6 linked regions of the Sus scrofa genome follow. The protein of the gene in region 1 interacts with the protein of each later gene in a pairwise test. Links are inferred from orthologs where the notes say so. Each region holds a gene or a part of one and is shown on either strand. Other genes may lie near its edges.

The links.
Region 2: the proteins of MAX (region 1) and MXD3 interact in a two-hybrid assay, tested with the Homo sapiens proteins (4 studies listed by BioGRID). The link is inferred for Sus scrofa from reciprocal best matches to the Homo sapiens genes MAX and MXD3.
Region 3: the proteins of MAX (region 1) and MXI1 interact in binary tests that used the Homo sapiens proteins (3 or more experiments, as listed by UniProt). The link is inferred for Sus scrofa from reciprocal best matches to the Homo sapiens genes MAX and MXI1.
Region 4: the proteins of MAX (region 1) and PLEKHF2 interact in binary tests that used the Homo sapiens proteins (3 or more experiments, as listed by UniProt). The two-hybrid records come from large-scale screens. The link is inferred for Sus scrofa from reciprocal best matches to the Homo sapiens genes MAX and PLEKHF2.
Region 5: the proteins of MAX (region 1) and MXD4 interact in a two-hybrid assay, tested with the Homo sapiens proteins (2 studies listed by BioGRID). The link is inferred for Sus scrofa from reciprocal best matches to the Homo sapiens genes MAX and MXD4.
Region 6: the proteins of MAX (region 1) and UNC45A interact in binary tests that used the Homo sapiens proteins (3 or more experiments, as listed by UniProt). The two-hybrid records come from large-scale screens. The link is inferred for Sus scrofa from reciprocal best matches to the Homo sapiens genes MAX and UNC45A.

What each region holds. Positions count from the first base shown.
Region 1 is NC_010449.5:89,144,266-89,147,765, reverse strand, and holds part of MAX (protein max), read left to right. Parts: intron 1-1,902; coding exon 1,903-2,026; intron 2,027-2,490; coding exon of another isoform or gene 2,491-2,575; exon of another isoform or gene 2,576-2,591; intron 2,592-3,268; coding exon 3,269-3,456; 3' UTR 3,457-3,500. UniProt on the Homo sapiens protein: Transcription regulator. Forms a sequence-specific DNA-binding protein complex with MYC or MAD which recognizes the core sequence 5'-CAC[GA]TG-3'. The MYC:MAX complex is a transcriptional activator, whereas the MAD:MAX complex is a repressor.
Region 2 is NC_010444.4:80,635,774-80,639,782, forward strand, and holds the start of MXD3 (max dimerization protein 3), read left to right. Parts: upstream 1-1,209; 5' UTR 1,210-1,616; coding exon 1,617-1,686; intron 1,687-1,951; coding exon 1,952-2,057; intron 2,058-2,724; coding exon 2,725-2,754; coding exon of another isoform or gene 2,755-2,884; coding exon 2,885-2,999; intron 3,000-4,009. UniProt on the Homo sapiens protein: Transcriptional repressor. Binds with MAX to form a sequence-specific DNA-binding protein complex which recognizes the core sequence 5'-CAC[GA]TG-3'.
Region 3 is NC_010456.5:120,719,912-120,723,132, forward strand, and holds the end of MXI1 (max-interacting protein 1), read left to right. Parts: intron 1-164; coding exon 165-328; 3' UTR 329-2,721; downstream 2,722-3,221. UniProt on the Homo sapiens protein: Transcriptional repressor. MXI1 binds with MAX to form a sequence-specific DNA-binding protein complex which recognizes the core sequence 5'-CAC[GA]TG-3'. MXI1 thus antagonizes MYC transcriptional activity by competing for MAX.
Region 4 is NC_010446.5:41,532,133-41,536,230, reverse strand, and holds the start of PLEKHF2 (pleckstrin homology domain-containing family F member 2), read left to right. Parts: upstream 1-1,298; 5' UTR 1,299-1,450; intron 1,451-1,702; exon of another isoform or gene 1,703-1,787; intron 1,788-4,098. UniProt on the Homo sapiens protein: May play a role in early endosome fusion upstream of RAB5, hence regulating receptor trafficking and fluid-phase transport. Enhances cellular sensitivity to TNF-induced apoptosis.
Region 5 is NC_010450.4:1,214,008-1,218,223, forward strand, and holds the start of MXD4 (max dimerization protein 4), read right to left. Parts: upstream 2,801-4,216; 5' UTR 2,638-2,800; coding exon 2,574-2,637; intron 2,474-2,573; coding exon 2,374-2,473; intron 1-2,373. UniProt on the Homo sapiens protein: Transcriptional repressor. Binds with MAX to form a sequence-specific DNA-binding protein complex which recognizes the core sequence 5'-CAC[GA]TG-3'.
Region 6 is NC_010449.5:53,537,547-53,541,046, forward strand, and holds part of UNC45A (protein unc-45 homolog A), read left to right. Parts: intron 1-138; coding exon 139-309; intron 310-1,529; coding exon 1,530-1,701; intron 1,702-2,324; coding exon 2,325-2,625; intron 2,626-3,439; coding exon 3,440-3,500.

The sequences.
Region 1 (3,500 bases):
TTAACAACGGAGCTTAGAAAGCATCTGTCTCCTGGATTCCTAAACTCTTCTCCCCACTCTGCCACCCTGCCCTTTTCCTGCAGTACTGTTTTTAATCCCATCTCTAGCATCCAGAGGCAGGGTATTTTAATTAGTCCATTTAATTAGTTCATTCTAAATATGTGCCACCCCCCCCCCATTTTATCACCTAATAATTGACTCTAGTAAGTCCCTTTTGGCAGAAATGGGAAACATCTGAAGTGGCCGTATAATCATCTGTAGGTACTCTCATTCTTTCTACACAAGCTGACTTAGTCAACTAAAGAAATAGACTTGGGCCCGTCCCTTCCCCATGTCTCGCCTGTGCTGTTCTCCCTGCCCGGAGTGACTCTTTCCCACAGATTCCACCTCAGTCTAACCCCAGGGTTCTCTGATTCAGGTGGGAGCCTGAGTGTGCAGAGCCAAGGCTAATGTCTGGCACACAGAAAATGATCACCCAGCCAGAAGCTGTTTTTCTTGTGACCTTTCTAATCTGTACTATTCAAGTTATACTTGTTAGTACTGCTCTGTGATTTGTCTTTGTGTAGATATATGTATATCTCGTCAACTAGTGAGCAAGTGAGCTTCTGGGCAGAAGAAGCCATGACTAATACATTTTGTTTCTCCACAGTGTCTGCTCAGTGCCTTGCACGTAATTCACTCCAGATAAAGTCGATTGAATGTGAACAATTTCCTTTTGAGGAAATTGCCTTAAGGATGCTATAAGAGGAAAGCCTGAAAAGGCTAATATTTGTGAGGACTGGTGAATAAGCCCAGGCCTTCCAAATCTCTCTGATACTCAGCCCAGCTGGGGTCTGAGTTGAAATTGTCAGGATTTACTACACGTAGTTTTCGTTTTGCTTGCCGGAGCACACAGCTGTTTTCTTTGCCATCAAAGAAGCTTTGCTTCTGCTCAGGAGCCTCAGTGGTCTGACCGCCACACTTTGGCTACTAGACTACCCTGTCTTGGGCTTCAGTTCTCTTGGCTTCATACCCTTCCACCAGTTCAGCTGGTTGGCTGCCTTGCTATGAGTAATTCTGGCAACGTTTGCAATCTATAGGGAATCTTCCAGGCAAGTCTGACCTGCAGGGGCCGAATAACCTAACATCCATTTTATTAGCTTATTAACTTGTTCCTCTGACAGGGCAATGCCTAAGCTACCCAACAGCCATGGTAGAGGTGTGTGGTTGCTTCCTGAAATGGCCCAATCTCATGCCCTTCCTGTGTTGACATCAGGCTCTGACAGCTTTCACAAAAGTCTTTTTAGCCAGAGAGGCTGAAATAGTGACACTTGCAGCATGGCTCAGTTGAACTAGTTAACAGCGGTCTGAGGGCTTATCTCAAATCTAGGACCTTGATGAAAACTTTGTACCATTTCCATCCTGAGCCAGCTCCAAATGGGATCTTAATCTTGTCTTTCTGAACCAGCTTCCTATAGCCAGGCCCTACCGAGAGTGAATGGCTTAAGCTCTCGGTTAAGTAGTACTTTAATGTTTTCAGACTTAGCCAGGCTGAAGACTTGAAAGCAACCTCAAGAACCAAAGGGAATGGACAGGGTACAAGTTCAAGATTCAGATGTACCTGAATCCAGGCGCTACCACTCTTGAGCTGGGGATTTAGGATAAGTCAGTAGACTGAGCCTTGGGTTCCTGGTGGAGCGCCCTCTCTCAGAGAGAGCCAGTGAGGTAAGCTATATAAAGCAGCTGGTGCCTTGACTGGTACAGAGAAGATTCTTGGTAGCACTCACACTGTTTCTTCAGCCTCGTCCCCTCCACCCTCCTGCTTCCATTTCCCCGTGTGGTTGTTGCTGAAAGGCATGGTTTCCTCACTGCATGGACTAGGTCTTTATTTTGTCCCCTTTGCTTTTTCTCACATTGCAACAGGCATCCCGGGCCCAAATCCTAGACAAAGCCACAGAGTATATCCAGTATATGCGAAGGAAAAACCACACACACCAGCAAGATATTGATGACCTCAAGCGGCAGAATGCTCTTCTGGAGCAGCAAGGTGAGCAGCGGAGCTTGTGGGGCAGTGGCCCTGCTGTGCTCCAGCCAGGTCAGGGCTTCGCACCCGGGCCTGCAGAGTCAGGACCAGTTCCAGAGTGTGTGCTCCTGAGCAGCTGCGGCCCTGCTTCTCGGGCCTGAGTAGCTGAGTGGTAGAGTCATCCGAGGAAGGACCTGAGACGTCAGTGAGGGAACAGTGGAGTCTAGGGTTTAGACATCTGGAGACTTTTCTCTGACCTGCTCTCTCTCCCCTTCTTGGGGCTCAGGCGCTCTGTTTGCAGTAGGGCATCAAGTGTCTCGAGAGCTGTGAGGTCCTTGGATCGGAGTGTGCTGTGTAAGTGCCAGAGACTCCAGGTGTTCAGGGACAGTGAGCGCTCCCGGTGTCACTGGTAGTCCAATCAGGGCAGCCTATGGGCCAGGCCCATGCTGTTCTCCAATGCTCACACCCGCCTTTTCCTACAACCACAGGGGAAAGCGAGAGCTGATCAAGTTCTTTGTTCCTGGGGAATTCACTTCTCTTCCTCCCTCATGGAAGATGCAAGTAAAAGGAAATGCAAGTAACCACCTGGGTTAGAACACCTCAAATAAACTAAACTAAACTAAATGGGTTATAACCTTCCAGGCTCAAGATGAGCTGAGCTGAGGGATGGGCAGCGGGAGGTGGCAGCGGGTTGGTTACTGGGCTGAGCAGCCTGCATGTAGGGGCTCCGTGTCGAAAGGCCCAGGTATTATTCTCTGTGTATTGGTGACTTGCTTCCAAGTGTCCAGCTTGTCTTTCCAAGTGAATCGCATACAAAAGTGCTAAGCCAAAACTTTTCTTTGGCTGATACATCTTCTGTCATCCTTTCCTGCTGTTGTGTGGCCTCCACACCCTTGCAGAGCCTGGCGTGGCCAGGCCGGCTTCTCTGTTACTGCACTGCTGGGTCCCACAGGGAGCTCGTGCTCCTGTCTCTATCCCGGCCTTCCACGGCAGGACGGTGACATCACAAGACTTCTCTTTCGATTGGGTGGCATTGCAGAGTGTCTGGCCTTGTCCATTCCACTGGGCACCCAGGTCTGGCTGGGAAAGGAGGAGGGAGATGAAGTGTGCAGGTGGAACAGCCACCAGAAGGGAGATCCTTTTGAGCCACTCTGAGCCTCGGGGGCCAGCAAGCCCTTCGGAAGAACAGGCTGGACCCTGACCTGAGACTCGGTTGCTCCCCTAGTCTCCAGAAGGCTGTAACCCGCTCGCTTGGTTGCCTTTCAGTCCGTGCACTGGAGAAGGCGAGGTCGAGTGCCCAACTGCAGACCAACTACCCCTCCTCAGACAACAGCCTCTACACCAACGCCAAGGGCAGCACCATCTCTGCCTTCGATGGGGGCTCAGACTCCAGCTCGGAGTCGGAGCCCGAAGAGCCCCAAAGCAGGAAGAAGCTCCGGATGGAGGCCAGCTAAGCTCCGCGGGGCAGGCCAGCAATAAAAACTGTCTGTCTCCTCCG
Region 2 (4,009 bases), on another chromosome or scaffold:
CATGTGCTATGTGTTTACCCAGGACTGTCTCTTTTTAAAGAATCTAGGGATTTCCTGTTGTGGCTTAGCACTAAGGAGCCCAACTAGTATCCATGAGGACGCAAGTTCCATCCCTGACCTTGCTCAGTGGGTTAAGGATGCTGCCTTGCTGTGGCTGTGATGTAGGCCTCTAGCTATTGCTCTGATTTGACCCCTAGCCAGGGAACTTCCATAAGCCGCAGGTGTGGCCCTAAAAAGCAAAAAAAAAAAAAAAAAAAAAAAAAAGAATCTAGTTCCTACTTCTCCATCCTCTCCTTTTCCGGGTCACAGACCCAGCCCCAGTCTGGCGGTAATGCTCCACCCTGTAACAGCTGCTTTCATCTTCAGGTCTCCACCCTTAGGCTTCACCGCCCCCTCAGGTGTGACGACACCTCGTGGTGCTACCCATAGAAGTCACTGCATCTTCTTCAGGAGGCTATAAAGTCACGTTAAAGAAGGGCCCATGGACTCCGAGTAAGACGACCAGGGGCCCTGTGGGAGGAAGAAGCCTGCATCAGGTTGCACCAACCTTAAGACACCAGGAGCTTCTACAAACTGCACACAGCATAGGCATGGGTTCAGATCCTTCAAAGACGCCGTCCCAAGGCTTCTCGATCCTACAGGAAGGAAGGCATTTTCCTGAGAAGTATTGGTGACAAGAAGAATTGGTGTCGGCTCCAGAACCCTAGCAAATCAGTTCTCAAGTTGGTACCCTTCTGATGTTTTCATAGCGACAGTAGCTTCCCTGCAGATGAGGGGTTGGAGGAGCCGGGAGACTATTCCCATCCGCCACAGTAGGAAGCTGAGGCCCAGTGGGCGTTACGGGGGCAGATGGCAAGCAGGCAAAGGTACAGACCCGGGAGCGCAGGAGCCAGATCCGCGCCCCTCTTCCCTGGCGCTTGCGCACTGCGGGCCCCATTCCCCGCTCAACTCCGCCCTCCTCGCTCGGGTTTTCAAATTTGAAACCTGCTCCTTTTCCCGCCCGAACATGTTGACCAGCGGCGGGAGAAGGCGGAACCGCGCGCAGCCAATGGTGCCTCAGAGGCCCCCCAGCCCCGCCCCAAGGTGAAGACAGCTGGCCGCAGGAGGCAATGGGCAAATGAGTGAGGGCGCCCGTCGGGCCCCGCCTCCGCCGTGCCCACGTGCAGCGGCGGAGCCAGGGGCCTCCTAGAGATCACCCGCCCCCAAAGCACCATTCTGTGTTCCGGCCTTTCGCCACCAGCACGGGGCTGGGAACTGAGGCCTAGAAACGCAAGTAACAGACGTGGAGTTGCTGAGCGAAGCTGTAGGACGCAGCAACCCTCCAGCCCAGGAGTTTGTCCAAGGGTCGGGCCTGGAGCCGAAGCTTGTAGCAGCCCTACAAGTCTGAGGGGGCGGGCGTGGTCGCGTGGGGTGGGCCGAGGTTCCCCGAGGTTCCCCGGCAAGTTTCAGGAGGGCGGGGCCAGGAGCTGGGCTGTCCCGGGGCGGGGCGGGGCGTCCTGGGGGGCGGGGCCGAGCGCCTGTGTTTGTTGCGCCGTGTCAGTTACATTGTAACAAAAGTGGTGCAGCCGCTCCTCCGGCCAGCACCGTAGGCCAGCCCGCCGCCAGCTGTCGCGGACATGGAACCCGTGGCCAGCAATATCCAAGTTCTGCTGCAGGCGGCCGAGTTCCTGGAGCGCCGCGAGAGAGGTGAGGAAGAACCCTTGGTTCTACTCGAGGCAGCGACCTCGTTGACATGGGCCTGGGCTGGACTTGGCTCCCAACTTGAAAGATGCATGGCTTTAGGGCAGTAGTTCTGGGGCACCCCTCCCTCACCTCAGAGGCGTCGGGCAGTGTGGTGGGAGGGCTTGGCGACATAGCCCTGTAGCCAGAAGGCCCTCCCTGATCCTACTGTGCCAGGGCCGCCCGCTGGTGTTAGCCCCAGCCTGACGCGGGCGGGGGTTCTCTCCCGCAGAGGCGGAGCATGGCTATGCGTCCCTGTTTCCGCACCGAAGTCCTGGCCCGGTCCACAGGAGGAGGCGGCGGTCCCCCCAAGATCCTGGCGCGCTGGACAGTGGGCGGTGAGGAAGGCTGGGGACAGCGGGGACCTGGGGTGGGGGATGGGCGCCGGCCCTCTTCGGGCCCCTCCACTGCCCACTTCATCCTTGTTGCTTGAATCGTCTGGGTCAGGTACCCTCCTCTGGAGGTATTCAGACTCCTCCTGCCGTTTCTCCCCTCCTCTCCCGCCCCTTAACACTCTTCGTTCAAGGACTCTTTCTCTGGTATGTTAGGAACTGTAAACCAGACACTTCTGGGTCTTGCGTCCCCTCACACTCTTACACTCCACACTCTTACGTCCCCAAGCTTACTCCTTTGCTGTCTTCTCAACCCTTTGCACATGCTGTTCCCCCCAGTTGGAATGCCTCTCTGTCCACTACCCATTTTGAATAACTTGTGTTGCTGGGCTTAGTTCAGTTGTCACCTGTGTCCAGGAAGCCCTTCCTGATTGCTGCTGGGGTTCTGATTTGGACCCCACAGTCACCTGGGCAGGCCTCTGTCAGCATTTGGCCTCCTTACTCTCTCTGCCTCTGCCTGGCGACTCAGGTGCCTGAAGCCAGTACGAGCTCCCCACAGCGGGCTGGTTTGGGGGACACATCTGTAGTGAATTTTGAGCCTCTGGGAGCCCTGGGAGTGAGGGTGTGGGCAGTAGCTGACGCCCCCTCACCCCATCCTCCCTGGCATTGGCAGGTCTGTGCATAACGAGTTGGAAAAGCGCAGGTGAGTCCCAACCCTGCCCTGACAGCACCAGGCCCCAGGAACTGCCTCCCTCTGGCCTTCCCTCCCCTGCTGTCCCTCATCTGGCCAGCAAGTCTGGGCTGGCACTGCCCTCTAGACCCCTTCCCCGCAGGAGGGCCCAGCTGAAGCGGTGCCTGGAGCAGCTGAAGCAGCAGATGCCCCTGGGGGCTGACTGTGCCCGATACACCACACTGAGCCTTCTGCGCAGGGCCAGGATGCACATCCAGGTAAGGAGCTACCCTGGCACCCTGGGGCCAGCTTGCCAGGATGTGTGAAGCAAGGCAGTCGGGAGGGGCCGGGTGGAACTGAGGAGAGAGGTCTGAGGTTGTGGCCCAGCTGTGAGACATGGGGCTGTTTTCTCTGTGCTTTTAGTTTCCAAATTTGTTAGGTAGGAAGAAAAATAGAAAATAATTCAGAGGATTGTTCTGAGGCTTTAAGCAAGTTCTTCCAATAAATGTTCACTTGTTATTATAGCAATTATTACTTGGATCCCAACTGTGGGACCCTGGACGAGTCACGTAGCCTCTCTGGGTTTCATTTCCTCCTCTGCATGGGAGGCATTCTGTGACGGGTCATGTGTAAGGGTCCCTCAGAAGGTAGAGAGCTGGTTCTCACTCTTCCTCTCCCCCATCCTTCAAGGCCTCCTGCTCTGGGCAGTCTTTCCTGACCCTGTTTTGGGAGGCAGCTCCAGGGGCTGGGAGGGTGAAAGCCCTGAGAGGACACCAGTGAACCATCCTCCAGGTGCCCTCGCTGCTGCCAGGACTGAGCTCAGCGCCCCCTAGTGGACGGGAGTGGAGTGTGCTGACTAGAGCACAAGGCAGCTCTGCATGGTGGGGACTAGAAGTGCCTGGGAAGCGATAGAGAGAGGCCTTTTCCAGCCCTCTTGGCTCTTATGACAGAGGGAGTAATGGAGGTGCAGCCGAACTGTTGAGAGGCAGAATCAGAACCCAAGCCTGGGTCTCCTGACTTGCATTTTTGCCTTCAACAAGTGAGCACCTGCTCTGCCAGCCCTGGCAGAGACAGATGGAAGTGCTGTGCAGCAAGTAAATCAGTGTGGGCCTAGATGCCCACATTCCCCTCATTGTGGCTGAAAAACACCGGGGCTGAGTAGCAGGCTCCAGTTTCTCATATGGAGTTTGCCTTGCTTGGTTCTCAGAGGGGCTGATGTGTGATGTGTACTTAGATGCTGGCTGGCCTGTGGGCAGGACCTAGGGATTGCTCCTTCCTTGAAGCCTTG
Region 3 (3,221 bases), on another chromosome or scaffold:
ACCAGACATTTCCCTTTGCAAAATCCCTGTGTCACTTCACCTTTGATTCCTCTGTTCTTCAGAGATCACAGTTAATAGCTTGTATTACAATTATTTTCATGCCCTGTTCTTGAAAGTGCACATATACCAGATTACTAATGTTCTTCCTTTTTTCCATTTGGCAGAGGAGATTGAAGTGGATGTTGAAAGCACAGAGTTCTCCCATGGAGAAGTGGACAATATCAGTACCACCAGCATCAGTGACATTGATGACCACAGCAGCCTGCAGAGTATTGGGAGTGACGAGGGTTACTCCAGTGCCAGTGTCAAACTTTCGTTCACTTCCTAGAACCCAGCATGACATAACAGTGCAGGGCAAAATACTCACTGGGCCAATTCAATCCAAACAATCTCTTAAATTGGGTTCATGTTGCAGTCTCCTCTTTAAAACTAAACAAAACTATACTTGAACAAAAGGGTCAGAAGACCTCTATTTAAGCAAATACTTAGCAAAAAGTGGGGCAGAGCCTCCCCAGCAGAACAAATATTCATAATATTCATATTTGAAAATCACAATTTCTAATGGCAGCAGAAAACTTGTGTGAAATTTTCTTGATTTAAGTTGATTTGAAAGAGGACATTGGAAATTCCATCCTCTTTTTCTTTTCTGGGTTGCTCATACTACATTGATTGAGTAGACACATTTAAGGATGGGATTATGAACCCTTCTAAGTTTTTTGGTCCTAAAAACAAACAAATATCAAACCTATAGTAATGACAAGACAAGATAATCAGGCATTAACCTTGGATAGCTAAAGAGCTATTAAAACTCAGCCTGGGACAGCTTATCATGAAGCCTGTGGATGATCAATTCTTAAAACAAAAAACAAAACAAAAAAACACCTCATTTCATGCTCTGCAAAAGGAGAGACTCCCATGAAGCCTTTTAAAAGGGATCATCATATGCAGCTCAGCTTTCTGTTGGATTCCATGCTAAGCAAGCTAACCTTATCCTGCATTGTTAGCACTAGGGCAACCCAACCTCCAGCTCAACAGTCAGCCGCCCTTAGGCCCATGGGCAGCATGGGGCAGTCCATGTGCATGACAGCCTCTACCACGCAGGGCCTGAGTTTGGATTGAGGGGCCAGAAGGAAAAAGCTCCACGTGCCTCTGTGTCTGCGTGAGCCAGAAGAGTTGTCCACGCAGATTAGCAGGCCAAGGTCTGAGCCACGGCAGCATTTTTATTTTCAGATTTTGATAACTGTTTGTATGTGTTAAAAACCAAAATGACATCTTTTTAAAGCTTGTCCATAATAGACGTCTTTTATAGTGAAAAACACATGGGAAAAAAAAATCATCTATTTTGATGCAGCATTTGATAATGATAAAACACCTCACACCTCACTCTTTATAGTGCACAAAATGAATGAGGTCTGGGCTAAGTAGAAAAAAGGTCAATGCTGTTTTTGTTTTGTTTTAGAATCATTACCTTTTACCATCTTTTAACCATCTATAGTAGACACACTATCATAGTTAACATAGTTAAGTTTGGCACTTGTCTCAATTTATGTGAAGATTTGCTTCCGTTTTCCTACAGGCAGTCTCTCTACTTCCTCACAATCCCACTGTGCAGGTGCTATTGTCGCTCTTGTCAATATTTTCAGAAATGTTATTTTCTTTTAAGTGAAATTTCTAGCCTGCACTTTGATGTCATGTGTTCCCTTTGTCTTTCAAACTCCAAGGTTCTCCCCTGGCCCTTTCCCCGACCCTGGGAAGCCTTGGAAACCTTACCTTGGCTCTTTGGACTTTGTATACTTTAAATAATTTAACTACCCTTAATTACTTAAAAAAGAAAAAAAAAGCTTTATGATTTTCATAACTTATTGCTGATTTTAATGGGTTGTTAATTTCAGTCCTGTAGTTTTATTTTGTTTAGATAGGGCTGGGCAAGGAAAAAGGAAATAAAGACAACCATATTTAGCAGTGCAGATGAGTTGTGTGTGTAATGTTAGACTATCCTTTGTAAGTAGCACTTTAACAGCTCTCACTGCTTCTATATATGAAGTGAACCATCTTGGTCATACACAAGGCCTCATCATATATTTACTTGTCCTTGTGCTCTTCCTGTGCCTCCAAAAATATTTTATCCTTGATTGTGGTATGTATGAGTGGAAGAAATTCTTTGAAATAGATGTGTGAAAAACTGCATGCCTTTAGAAGCCCATTATTAGAACTTGTTACTTCAGGTGCTGGGGACTTAATGAAAAACATGATAAATTCATTTCTGCGGCCCAGGTAAATTATTTCTGGTTTCATTTATAATTACTCCTGGCCAGGTCAAAATGTTGCCCTATATATTTGTTTTCCCAAGGGAGACAGTTTGAAGACTGCTAAGTACCTTGGAAAGTAAATGGAAGCCAATGACAGAATTTCCATTTTGTTGTTCCCAGGGCATTCATTTGCATCACTTGTCTAGGGCTGGAATTTGGGACTTTATTCAGGTGAACTTGAGGTGCTGCCATTTTGTTGTGTATGTACAGGATGGTGGGCTGGGAAGCCTTTGTCACAAACCTATAGTACTTATTTCAACTCCCCCCTAAATTACTCCTTCCCTGGATTTGTTTTCCTTGGGGGAGGGGAATGGATTGTATGATGAGTAAGAAGTATTAATTTTTTAAAAGACAAATCGACTTTGAAGATACAAAAAGTTAACTGCAAGAAATAAAAATTGTGAATGAAAAATACCTGAGTGCTTTTTGTACCACCCTTCTCTATGAAGGAAAAAGTATCAGTGAGCATCCATACCTTGAGGTCCAGCTATCTTATAAAATGTCTGTTGATACTACTTCAGTGGTCCGAATTAATGGCAGCTTAAATCATTGCCACTTCCTAGCCTGTAAATAGATACCTTCTTGACTAAGAATTCCATGTAATTTTGTTATTCCCAGGGCATTCATTTGCATCACTTGCCTAGGGCTGGAGTTTCAGACTTTATTCAGGTGAACTTGAAGTGCTGCCATTTTGTTGTGTATGTACAGGATGGTGGGCTTGGAAGCCTTTGTCACATATAGGTGATTTAATGCACCCGAAATTATTCTCCAGATAACATTTTAGAGAGTCCCTTTAGCTATGTTATTTCTCAAATTGAAAATTTAGTCGCCATTTGGAGTTCCTGTCGTGGCACAGTGGAAATGAATCCTGACTAGGAACCAAGAGGTTGCAGGTTCGATTCCTGGCCTCAC
Region 4 (4,098 bases), on another chromosome or scaffold:
AAGAAGGAACTAAATGAAATTGGGGTAGGGTGATGGTTCAGATGAGAATCCTGGGGACATTTACACTTGTCTTCAGAGACAACTATACCTAACAGATGTAAAGTTTTTCTGGTGGTAATAGTCTACGTTTTCCTATTAAAAAAAAATATCGGTTTTGCAGTTTTTTTCTAGTTACTAATTTTATTTAAAAGACTTGCTTGTTTCTGAGATATGGAAAAAGTGAGGATGGGAGGCTGAATACCTGGAGGGGATCCCAGACCAAAAGAAAGTTCCTGCTTATGTATCCCTAGGTGGGTGCTCTTTTATGTGGCTTGGGTGCGGTGGTTCTAATTCAAGAATAATCAAAGGTAAAATATCCTTGAAATAATAGATCAACGGGAAAGATAAAATTTACCCAAGTCTAATTTCTGCCTATACGCTTTCCGTTTGAAGTGAATATTCTGTCTCCTCCCCCCATTCCTCATCTTAGTCATCTTAAACATCTCTCCACGTATCCGTCAGCTCGCTTAGCTGCGTTATAAATGAAGAAGGGCAGGTTTAACCTTATATGGTATCATTACTGTTTTCAGATGTGTGAAGTTGGATGACGTTTGTGGCGTCAGAGAAAAAGTTTTGGAAAGACCAGAGTTCTAAGTCAGGGAATAAGTCATCCATCACTTAAAAGACTGTATGGGGTATGTGTGTTGTAGCCGCAGCTCCCTCTGTTTCAAGTGGTGGGGTCTTAGGAAAAGCCAGTGGAAGATGTGACAGGCAGGAACGCTGTGCTAAAGTGGGAGTAGCAAACAAAAGTCCGCCCAGCTTTTATTTCCCGGCAGTGGAAAGTTCTTGAGTTCCCCTTACAGGCCAGTTCGGTGGTGTGGGAGAGGGGGCCCAGCCTTCCTTCCGTTCTTCCAGCCTCGCTAAGAACTTCGTGGGCAGATGAACAATCCTTTCCAAGGACTTGCCCGCAGCTAGGCAGCCCAGGTAAGACGTCCCACGTGCGCCCAATCGGCTCCAAGGCGCGCGTTCCCACTGAGCACGGAGGAACCAACCCCAGGCCCTGGCTACCCAGGTGGGTGTGGCTTTCGTGGTGGCTCCGCCCCCTCGAGCTCGTCGCGCGGGGCCGCCCGGGCGGGGCGAGGGAACGGGCAAGAAAGGGCGGGGAGCGAGCGGTGTGGGTGTGCTCGTGCCCGCGCTCGCGGCTGGCGTGTGGGTGGCGGCGCGCCCGTGCGCGCGCAGGGGAGAGGCTGTCCCCGGCGGCCGTTGTGGGGTTCGACTGGAGGGGCGGGAGGGTCACCTGCGAGCGGCTTCGACGCCAGCCCGCCGCGTCTGGATCGCGCCGGCTGCGAAACGCTGTTGGCTGCCCACTCTGGGAGGCTGGGGCGGAGGATCGAGCAGAGTCCGCGCCCGGCGCTCGGGACGAGGAGGAGTCGGACCTTTGCCGCCGCCGCCGCCGTCCGCGCCCGGCCGGGTAGGTGAAGCCGGAGTTGGTTGTCCACCGGCCGCCGGCGGGCGGGGAGAGGAGAAGCGAAACTTTCCGGGCGCTTCCCTCCGCGGTCCCCGGCCGTCGGCGGCGCGGGGAGGTGTCGTCGTCTCGGGCGGCGGCGGCCGACGCCATGTTGGGGTCTGTGAGAAACGGGGCGCTCCCGGCCGCTCCCCTCGCCCTGGGGGAGCCGCGCCCGCTCGCAGGACGCCGCCGCCGCTGCGGGAGGGCTCGGGGGCCGCCCGGGGGGCCGTGCCGGTGCTCGTTCTGTCCTCCGGGCCGCGGGGCGGGGGCCGGGCGGACGCGAAGCGGACCCTGAGATCGGGTGAGAAGTTGGGAGGCGCGGGGACTGGGGTCCCAGTCGTGGCCAATGGCATCTTAGGGCCCCAACATCTCTCTGTCCAAAAAGTTTGCAGGGTCTGGGCATCGCGGACGTTGTAATCTGAACAGCGTATTTTTATGTGATTGGCGGCCAAAAATGGCACCGCAGAATTTACCCTGATAGAAGCGTTGGCTCTAACGTCTTACTTACTTGGAATCTTTTAAAAGTTGTATGGTCTTTTGCCCAATTTATTTTTCCTTTATTTTTTAAATTTTTATTAAAGGCCGAGAGCTGCCTCTTCATGTTGCTTGACTATCCTTGTGCGCCCTTAGGACATTGAAGCAGTAACTTGTGAGTGTGCACTGGAAATCGTGGGTAGTATTAAGGTTACAGATAACCAAGTTCTTCTCTGTAATTCAGAGACTCACAAAGTTTGTAAATCGGTAAATACTTTCTTTGTTGTGTTTCAGTACGTCACTGAAGAACAAATTCAGTAAAGAAGGACTTAGACACGAACATTGAGAGACTCAAAGGCATGTGTTCTGTTTAGAATAAGGTGAAGTGATCTTGACATTGCGAGGTTTCCCCCCTCCTTTTGGTTCCTTAAAGGTGCTTGCCTACTGTGTTTTGAGCATTTAGATTTTTCTGTCCTTTGCGAGCTCATGGGGTCCTCAGGTTAATTCGGTATTAAGGAAAGCTTCTATTTTTAATCTCTTTGGGTCCTCACAGCACTGGAGGTGAATGGTATTAAGTTACTTATTTGGAAAGCACATGTAATCGCCTCAAAAAATAAAACTGGTGTACTGACCAAGGCATCAAAAAAGATTCAGCTTGAATCACCCCAGTAAGTGAATGTAAATTACTAGTTTTAATGAAGGCATTTGAGCTTCCAAATTCTGTTAATGAACTGAAAGGACTTTTTAACTACAAATCAGATAAACCCTTAAACATATCTTGGAGAATTTCTCTTATCAATCTTTAGGTAAAAATATAGCTTCGGCTCAGATTTGATCGCTAATTTCCTTAATTCTAGAAGAAAAAAAAAAACCTTTTTTTCCCCACTGTTAGGTAATTGCCATTATATGTATATATTTTTCTGTATGAAGAGTTACCTACAAATAAAGTGATTTAACTAACTTCAAATCTAACAGCCAAACTGGTATTTAAGTGAGATCTTATGACTGAAGCCTTCTCATTTTTCTTACAGCGTAACTGCAGGATATATAACTCATTCCTGTGGAGTAGTCTCTCTCCACCTTGTTTCGTCTGTTAGCTGCTCTTTCTGATTTTAATTTAGTTTCTCAGTATATCTATTTCCTGGAGTATTTCTTAGGAAATCTCAGTTTATGAGAGTTCATGTACTGAAATTATTCCTCCTAAAATTATTCACTCAAGCCTATAGAAGCTCCTTCTGCCCTGTTCTCCTTACCCCATCCTCTTTTTCTCCCCAAGAATAATTCACCTATCTATCCCATTGCATCCCAGTAAATGTATCTGTCATGGCACCTTCTTGACAGCAGGTTTAGGTCAGGTCTGAGTTGCCTCATCATCCCCAGAACATAGCACATGCTCAGGAAAGGTTTGAATGGATAAATACACATGTGTTTCTTGTAAATACGCTTTATGAATTTCTTGTTAAATTGCACTTTCAGGGGCAGAAGAGTTAAATCTTCTCTAACCACCTTTTTTTTTTTTTTTTTTTTTTGAGAATTTACCTTGGCAACTCATTAATTTTGGTCTGGGGGTACAGAACTTGAATGTTTGTGAAATTTCAGAGTAGATATGGACAGAAGGATAAGCAGCAAAGAAACAACAGCTGTGAGTCAACAAAAGGATAATAATCATAATTTAAAAGTGCATCTGGGAGTTCCTGTCTTGGCTCAGTGGTTAATGAATCTGACTAGGAACCATGAGATTGCAGGTTCAATCCCTGGCCTTGCTCAGTGGGTTAAGGATCCGGCATTGCCGTGAGCTGTGGTGTAGGTCGAAGATGCGGCTCGGATCCCGAGTTGCTTTGACTGTGGCGTAGGCCGGCGGCTAGAACTCTGATTTGACCCCTAGCCTGGGAACCTCCATATGCCACAGGTACGGCGCTAGAAAAGGAAAAAGACAAAAAATAAAAATAAAAAATAAGAAAAATAAAAGTGCCTCTGTATTTAGTGTTTATACTACATGGAAATAGAATTAATGCCTACAAATTTTGAAGGTCATGCTTATATATTTAAGCTTTTTGACAGAACAACTCTGATTTCTCTACCAATAATTATTTTGTTAGAATTTGTCTTAGAATTTTGTTTTAGAATGCCTGGCGTAA
Region 5 (4,216 bases), on another chromosome or scaffold:
GGGGGCTTGGGCCTCCATTCCTCCCACCAGGGCAGCCGGCTCCTGGGCCTCCCTGTGCAGCCTCAGGAGAACGTCCAGGGCCTCGAGGGCTTGCTGGTCACACGGGCTGGGCAAGGAGCCTCAGAACCTCTGCCAGGGCTGGGGGTGGGGGCGGGGGTGGGGGGCACAGCCGTCAGGACCCTCGCTGGCCTGAGCCACCGCCCGTGCTGTCATCTGCAGGTCAGCTCGCGTGCAGGCGACGTGTGGGTCGGCGAGTGCCCTTTAGTGCAGAGCAGCGGACCAGAGTGGCCCTCGCAGGCCGGGCTGGACCCCATTCTGGAGAGAGGGCGCTGCTCAGGGGTTACAGAGGGGCCCGGGGCCCTCCTGATGCTCCTCTCTGGTCTAGGCACTCGAGGAGCCTTGCGGGGGAGTGTGTCGCATGGGTCCCAGGAGCATGGAGGCCTGGGGAGGAGAGGCGCTCCCTGGCCGGGGCTATGTTTCCAGCATCACAGCTTGCTCACTCCACCTCTTGAGGTGGGAGCTCTCTTCCAGGACCTCATCCCTGGCAGGCTGGTTCCAACCCCCTCCTGCTGCACCCCTGCCCCAAGGCCCTTCCTGTAGCCCTGGCACCCACATGGTGGCTGCTGTCTCCCCAACACACGCTGCCCTTCTGTCCCACTACCCACACTTCATCCTACTCCCTGCTGTGCCCACCCCTTTCCCCCTCCTTCTGGGGACACAGAAGCCTTGGAGGTGCGGAGCTGGCCGGCAAGCCAGAGCTCTGGGTCCTCTGGGCCCTGCCCTGCCCTGGCCCCTGGGCTGGCTGAGGCCTCGCTGGGCCAGGACAGCCACGTGGGGCCTCCTGTGAGCCTCGGGATATGCCCGAAGCATGGGGAGCTGGGCTCTATCCAGAGAAGCAGGGGGAGGTGCCCCCTGGTCTGGGAGACCCTCCCAGGGCCCTGGGGTCTCCATCCCAGCAGAATGTACGAGGCCAGGATCCCACCCAGAGGTGAGAGGGTGGCCAGGCAAGTAGTTCAATCTGTCAATGCCTCAGTTTCCTCGGTCCTAAAATAGAGATAAAAATACCACCTCCTTCGTGGGGTTGGATGAATATTAATTAGCATTTGCATGAGAATCTCAGCTATGATGGTAGCTATGGGCCCTGGGTACCCTATGCCACAGGAGGAAAAGGTCACAGGCCCAAGTTTTCCATGGGTGGCAGGGTGCTTGGCACAGTGAGAACCAACAGCAGGGGCCTGGCTCGCTCACGGACACCTAAGGCAGTGGTGTCCCCCACCAAACGGTCCCCAACAGGCGACCAGGGGCTGGGACTTAGAGGCACGTCCAGCCAGAGCAGATGGAGCCTCAATCAATTGCTTGCCAGGCCGAGGGTGCCAGGACGTCACAGGAGATGGGTCCCTGAGCCAGCCTTTCTGTTTCCCAAGAATGAGCACGCCACAGGAATGAGCCGCGCCCTCTGCCAAGGGGCCCCAAAGCCCCCTGGAAAGGCAGCTCCCAGCCTGGTGACATGGTCCAGGGCCAAAGTGGGCCCCTGGGCAGTGCCAGGTGTGCCGTGGTCCCCACAGCGGCCAGGAGAGTGTAATCCCACAGAAACCCTACCGGAAGGTCCTCACTGCCACCCAGGGATATGCACCCCCACGTTCAGGCGCCTACAGCCAGGGTACAAGGCCAGAGCAAGAAGAGGGGTCTCTGGCACTGGGAGAGGCTGCTGCACGTGGCCCCACAAGCTCTTCCGGCCCCCTTAAAAAGGGCCTTCTGACCCAAAGAAGGGGACACCCTCCCCCCGCACGGGTCGCTGGAGTTTCACTTGTGTCAGGAGTTTGGGAAGGAGCGGTGGGCACCGTGCGAGGGCTGAAGGCCCAGGGCAGGGCTTCCACACTTCTTTGTGCAGGTCCCTGGGGTGGGAGGACTCAGTCCAGTGGCGGGGCTCGGTCCTTGGAGACAGTGCAGCCCACCCGCCCGCGGGGGCAGAGGTCGCGGCCAGCAGCCCCACGCTGCCCTGCACCAAACCTCAGTTTCCCTAAACCCACCGGGGATCCGCCAGCGCCCCTGACAACTTTTTTTCCTGCCAGGAAAAGTACAGAACAACTTGGGGGCGGGGAGCGACTGCGGGAGGAGACCCCGGGCGGCGGGCGCTGTACGCGTGGCACTGTTTACGCGAGAGTCCGAGGAGGCGCGGCCCGCGGGAAGATGGCGACGGCGCGGGCGGGGCCGGCCGGGAGGGGCTGTCGCGGCCCGGGCATGCCTCCTCCTCCAGGCTGGCCGCCGGGGCGTGCAGCGGCGGCGGCCGGGCTACAGGCTGGGGTCGGGCCGGGGGAGGGCGCTCCCGGGGCGTAAGCCCCGGGCCTGGGGGCGCCGCGCGGGGGGTAGTACCTGTTGTTCGGGGCCTTGCGCACCAGGCCAGCCGCCTTTGTTTTCTTCCTGGCAAAGTCGCCATCGAAGGGCAGCACCGAGGCGTACCCGTGCTCGGCCTCTGCAGACAGACGGCGCGGTCAGCTGGCCCCCGCCCGGGTCCCGGCCCCGCCGCCGCCCGCCCGCCCGCGGCCCGGCGCACAAAGGGGCGCAGGCGCTACCTCGGTCCCTGCGCTCCAGGTACTCGGCCGCCTCCAGCAGGATCAGCAGGGAATTCAGCTCCATCCTCCCGCCCACCCCGCGTGCGCGCTCCGGGACGGCGGCGGCCGCTGCCCGGCCCGCTCCGGCCGGCTCCGCTCGCCGCCTGCCCCGCGCGCCCTGCGGCTCCACTTCCCCGACTCTCGCGGACTCCTAGCGCGCTCGGCCGCCACCCTCCGCTTCGGGCCCTCAAATTGACACATAAGGGCGAGCGGCGGCCGGCACAACCAATGGGAGTCGGCGATCAGGCTCCGGGGGCGGGCACCGGACTGGGTCGGGGCCAATAGGAGCCGGCCGAACGCCTCGGGCCGGGCCGAGAATGTTGACAGATGCGAAGCTCGGTTCCGATAGGCCCGCCGCGGTAGTAACAATTTAGAAGCCCAAGCTTAGCAACAGCACGTGGTGGCCCGGCCCCCGCGCTCGCTGACTGGCGGCAGGCGTGCATGTTAAGTAGGCGCCGCGCGCCGATTGGCCCAGAGCGGTCTATGTAAAATAGGCACGGCGGACCAATGGCCGGCCTCGGGGCGCGCAGCCAATGAGGGCGCTGCGGCCGGACGCGTTGCCGAGAGGAAGCAGAGGGCTGTGGGATCGCCTGCCGCCCGGCCACGAGCCAGGGCCCGTTAGGGCGCAGGGAGCATCCCAAATACCCCGCCGGTGCGCCGGATCTGCACACACCGTGCACAGGAACCTGTCGCCCCGGGCCTGCTGCCATAACTGGCTTCGCGGAAGCTCGGGGCCTCGCGGTCTCCTCGGAGGTCTCTCGTGGGGCTGCAAAACGACAGCCCTCCTCGTCGGACACAGCGCGATCCCAGGAAAGGCTAGGGTTTGGAAGAGGGGCCTAGACGGAGGATCTCAGTAGGAAACTGAGGCCCGGAGCTGCAGGGGTCCCTCAGAGCTGCCCAGTGGACCCTAGGGCTGAAGGAAGGATGTGAGAAGAGAAGGGTGCCAAGATCTGCCGCCGCAGGGCTCCCATGAGTGGAGGGCTGCGTGCTCCTGTCTGGCCCAAAGGGTGGGGACATTCCAAGAGGCGAGCGCTTGTCCCCTCTGGCCATGGAAGCGCTTTCTAGGGAAGAGAATTGCCCTTCGTGGGAGGGGCGAGAGCTCCCGGCTGGCGGGCTGGCAGGTGGCCCTAGTGACGCCTGACCCTAAGCTGGCCCCATTGGAGCAGGGACTGGCAGGTTAGGGGCAGCCCCAGACTGGCCACAGGCCTCCTTAATTTTCCCTCTCACTGGTCGTTGAGACTGATGGCCTGGGAGCTCCTGTACAGGGGGCCAGCTAGCTGGAGATTCTGGGGTGCAAGGTGGCTGGACACCCCCTCCAACACAGACACTCTGCTGCTGCCAGCACAACAGGACAAAACTAAAAACCTCACAGTTTCAGCCTGAGGGCCTGTTGAAAGCTTTATATGCATTTCCTTGTTTCGAGAAGGACTGACAGAGCTGGGAATCCTGAGGTTAGGGACTCCCCAGGGTCTCCCAGCCACCCCTGCCCTCCCCAGCACCCTCCCCCCCCCCACTGCCTCCCCCATGGATTAGTGCTCCCATATGCTTGGCCAGGGCTAGTGACTCGGCATGGAGACCAAACCACCTCCTGGTCCAGCACAACT
Region 6 (3,500 bases), about 36 Mb from region 1:
CCACAGTACCCGTGGGCAAGGCTGGAGCCCACGGAGTCCAGGATGCAGGTTCCACCCCCTCCCCCCACCACTGGGCAGTTTCAGGGTCAAAAATCAGCTCGGCCCCTGTGGAGCCCAGTAATGTCTTCGTGTTGCCAGATCCAGCCCGGGAGCTGAAAGTCCTCATCAGTAACCTCTTGGAGCTACTAACTGAGGTTGGGGTCTCCGGCCAAGGCCGTGACAATGCCCTGACCCTCTTGATTAAAGTGGTGCCCCGGAAGTCTCCTAAGGACCCCAACAACAGCCTCACCCTCTGGGTCATTGATCAAGGTAAGTGATAAAGAGACCAAGTGCCTGTGTTGCATCTTGCTCAGGTGGCTGGGCCTGCCTATCCCCAGGAGTGATTGCATTCAGCATGTGGTTGCACCAGAGTGCATGTGTGGCCTGTGCCACATTGGCCCCAGGGAACATTGGGCTATGCAGCTGCGTGTGTGTGCACGTGCATGCACAAAGAGCAGGCCTGCCAGCAGGTTAACAAGGCTGGGTCAGCTTTCTGTACGGGTAGTGTTTTTCAGTGAGTGTGTATTACTTTTGTATGCAAGAAAATATTCTCAAGGTTTAATAAATAAATCCGTACTTCTCATTTCTCTTAAAAGATAAGTAAGGAAAGCTTGGCAAAAGTGCCAGCATGCGCACATCTGTTGGTTACTCATCTTTTCTTGTCATCCCAATTATCCTGTGAGGTGTGGTTGTTACTTTAGCCTTCAGGTTTTTTTTTTTTTTTTTTTGGTCTTTTTAGGGTCACACCTGTGGCATATGGAAGTTCCTAGGCTAGGGGTCTAATTGGAGTTGCAGCTACCAGTCTACACCACAGCCTCAGCAACAACGTGGGATCCAAGCCGAGTCTGCAACCTGCAACCTACACCACAGCTCACGACAATGCCGGATCCTTAACCCACTGAGTGAGGCCAGGGATCGAACTCAGGTCCTCATGGTTACTAGCCAGATTGGTTTCCCTTGTGCCACAATGGGAACTCCTCCCCTTCAGTTTTATTTTATTTTATTTTATTGCTTTTTAGGGCTATACCTGCGGCATATGGAAGTTCCCAGGCTAGGGGTCAAATTGGAGCTACAGCTGCCAGCCTACACCACAGCAACTCGGGATCAGAGCTGTGTCTGTGACCTACGCCACAGCTCATGGCAGTGCCAGATTCCCAACCCACTGAGCGAGGCCAGGGATCGAACTCTCATCCTCATGGATACTAGTCAGATTTGTTTCTGCTGCGCCACACTGGGAACCACAAAGCCCTAGAGCATTTGGCCCCACGGGTAGGGCTGGACCGCAGACCTTACTTTTGAGGTCTTTCCCTGACCCCACGTTTGCTCCTCCCCGCTGCTCTCGGCAGCCAATCAGATTCTCTGAACCTGACTGCACTGTGACCTTAATTAAGAGAGATCCAGCCTTTCTGTGCATCTCCCAGGAAATCTCTTCCCTTTGCCCATGGGGGTTGGACCTCATGTTCTGCTGTCTAAATGGGGTATCTTTTCAGGTCTGAAAAAGATTCTGGAGGTGGGGGGCTCTGTGCAGGACCCCCCTGGGGAGCTCACAGTGACGGCAAACAGCCGCATGAGCGCCTCCATTCTCCTCAGCAAGCTCTTCGATGACCTGAGGTGTGATGCCGAGAGGGAGAATTTCCATCGACTCTGTGAAAACTACATCAAGTAAGGGAGTTGGCCCGCCTCCTGTGGTCAGGGTTCCAGTGAGAGCTCTGACTCCTTGGGGGAAGGACTGCAGTGGAAGGTTTCCCCCCAGGAGGGCAGCCCTTGGGGAGGGCTAGCGGGGGCCAGCATGGTCGCAAGGCCCACTTCTTGTTCCAGAGTGACCCCCCTGCCCCCAACTAGGGACGTTCCATTTTATGTCAGTTCTCCAGTGCAACAAATGTCCTCAGGCACATGCTGTTCACCTGGCACTTATTGTGTGTCACTTCTGACTCAGTCATGCCCCATGACAGTCCTTACCCTGCGAGGTACCTCACAGCTAGGAGAGGGTTGATGGAGAATGAGAAATGACAGCAGCAGCTAAGATCAGATCTCAGTGCGGGGAAGGAGACAGGCAAGGGTGGTATGAGTGAGAGTGACCTCGATCAGGTGGCATGTCATCAGGGGAGGGTCGAATAAAAGCCTGGGTGAAGATCAGGGACTGCTGTCTGGGGGGTGTCCTCCCGTTGGCAGCTTTTCTTGCTGTTCCTGCCCAAGGAGTGCAGATGCCTGGCCAGTGAGAGGGAGGAAAAGAGTGTCCCTTTTTGCTGGCCTTGGTATGACAGCTGCCACCCTGTGCCCCTCAGGAGCTGGTTTGAGGGCCAAGGGCTGGCCGGGAAGCTGCGGGCCATCCAGACGGTGTCCTGCCTCCTGCAGGGCCCATGTGACGCCGGCAACCGGGCCCTGGAGCTGAATGGTGTCATGGAGAGTGTGATCGCTCTGTGTGCCTCGGAGCAGGAGGAGGAGCAGCTGGTGGCCGTGGAGGCCCTGATCCACGCGGCCGGCAAGGCCAAGCGGGCTTCATTCATCACGGCCAACGGCGTCTCGCTGCTGAAGGACCTATACAAGCGCAGCGAGAAGGACCGCATCCGCATCCGGGCACTGGTGGTGAGAGGGGCAGGCCTGGGCTGGGCAAGCTGGCAGCCGAGCAGGGGTACTGGGCTGGCTGGTGTCTCAGGGTGCAGCCCCAGCACATGCTAGATGAAAATAGGGGGCATGTGGCCCGGTCAAGGCCAGAGGCTGGGGTCTTGGCTCCTCCCAGGGCTCGTGGTCGGGTCAGGGAGATGAGCCTTGTACAGAGAGGACAACAGAGAATGCAGGGCGGCATGTGCTGCCCCCTGTGGGCGCCAGGAGCAGCTCCCGGAGATTGTGGAGGAGTTTGGAGGATGCGCTGTGCCAGGCAGGTCAGAGGGCTGGGTGGAGACACTGGGCTGGCAGGTGGCCTCAGGCGCTGGTGATTCGGGGCCCACCTGGCCTCCATGAGTCTACTTCAGCCCTGCACCTTGAGGAGGCTGGTCCTCCACTTTGGGGCACTTAGTCCTGGGTTTCTCCATGCCATGAGGATCTTGGTCTTGGTGGAGGCATTGTCTTCTCTATGCACCTCATCCTCGCTCCACCTGCAAAGAGCTTTCTTGTTTTTCATGGAAAGGAGCAGAGCAGATTCTGGTGTGGACATGAGGGGTCAGGGCCCAGGCCAGCACGTTGTTCCGTATGTCAGTCTCTCCCAGATGCTGTGTCCCCTGGCCACACTGGTAGCCAACTTTGCTGCCCAGTGCTCCAGGTGGTAGCCTGTGGGGGTGTGCATGGCCTCCAGAGAGCCTAGCAGAGTGCCGGGGGCAGAGGGGAGCCCACGTTAGCAGTGGGCCAGCCCCGACCTGCCCCCATCCCTAGGCCAACGGCTGGTTCTTGCTCCTTCCTCCAGGGACTCTGCAAGCTCGGTTCGGCCGGAGGGACCGACTTTAGCATGAAACAGTTTGCAGAAG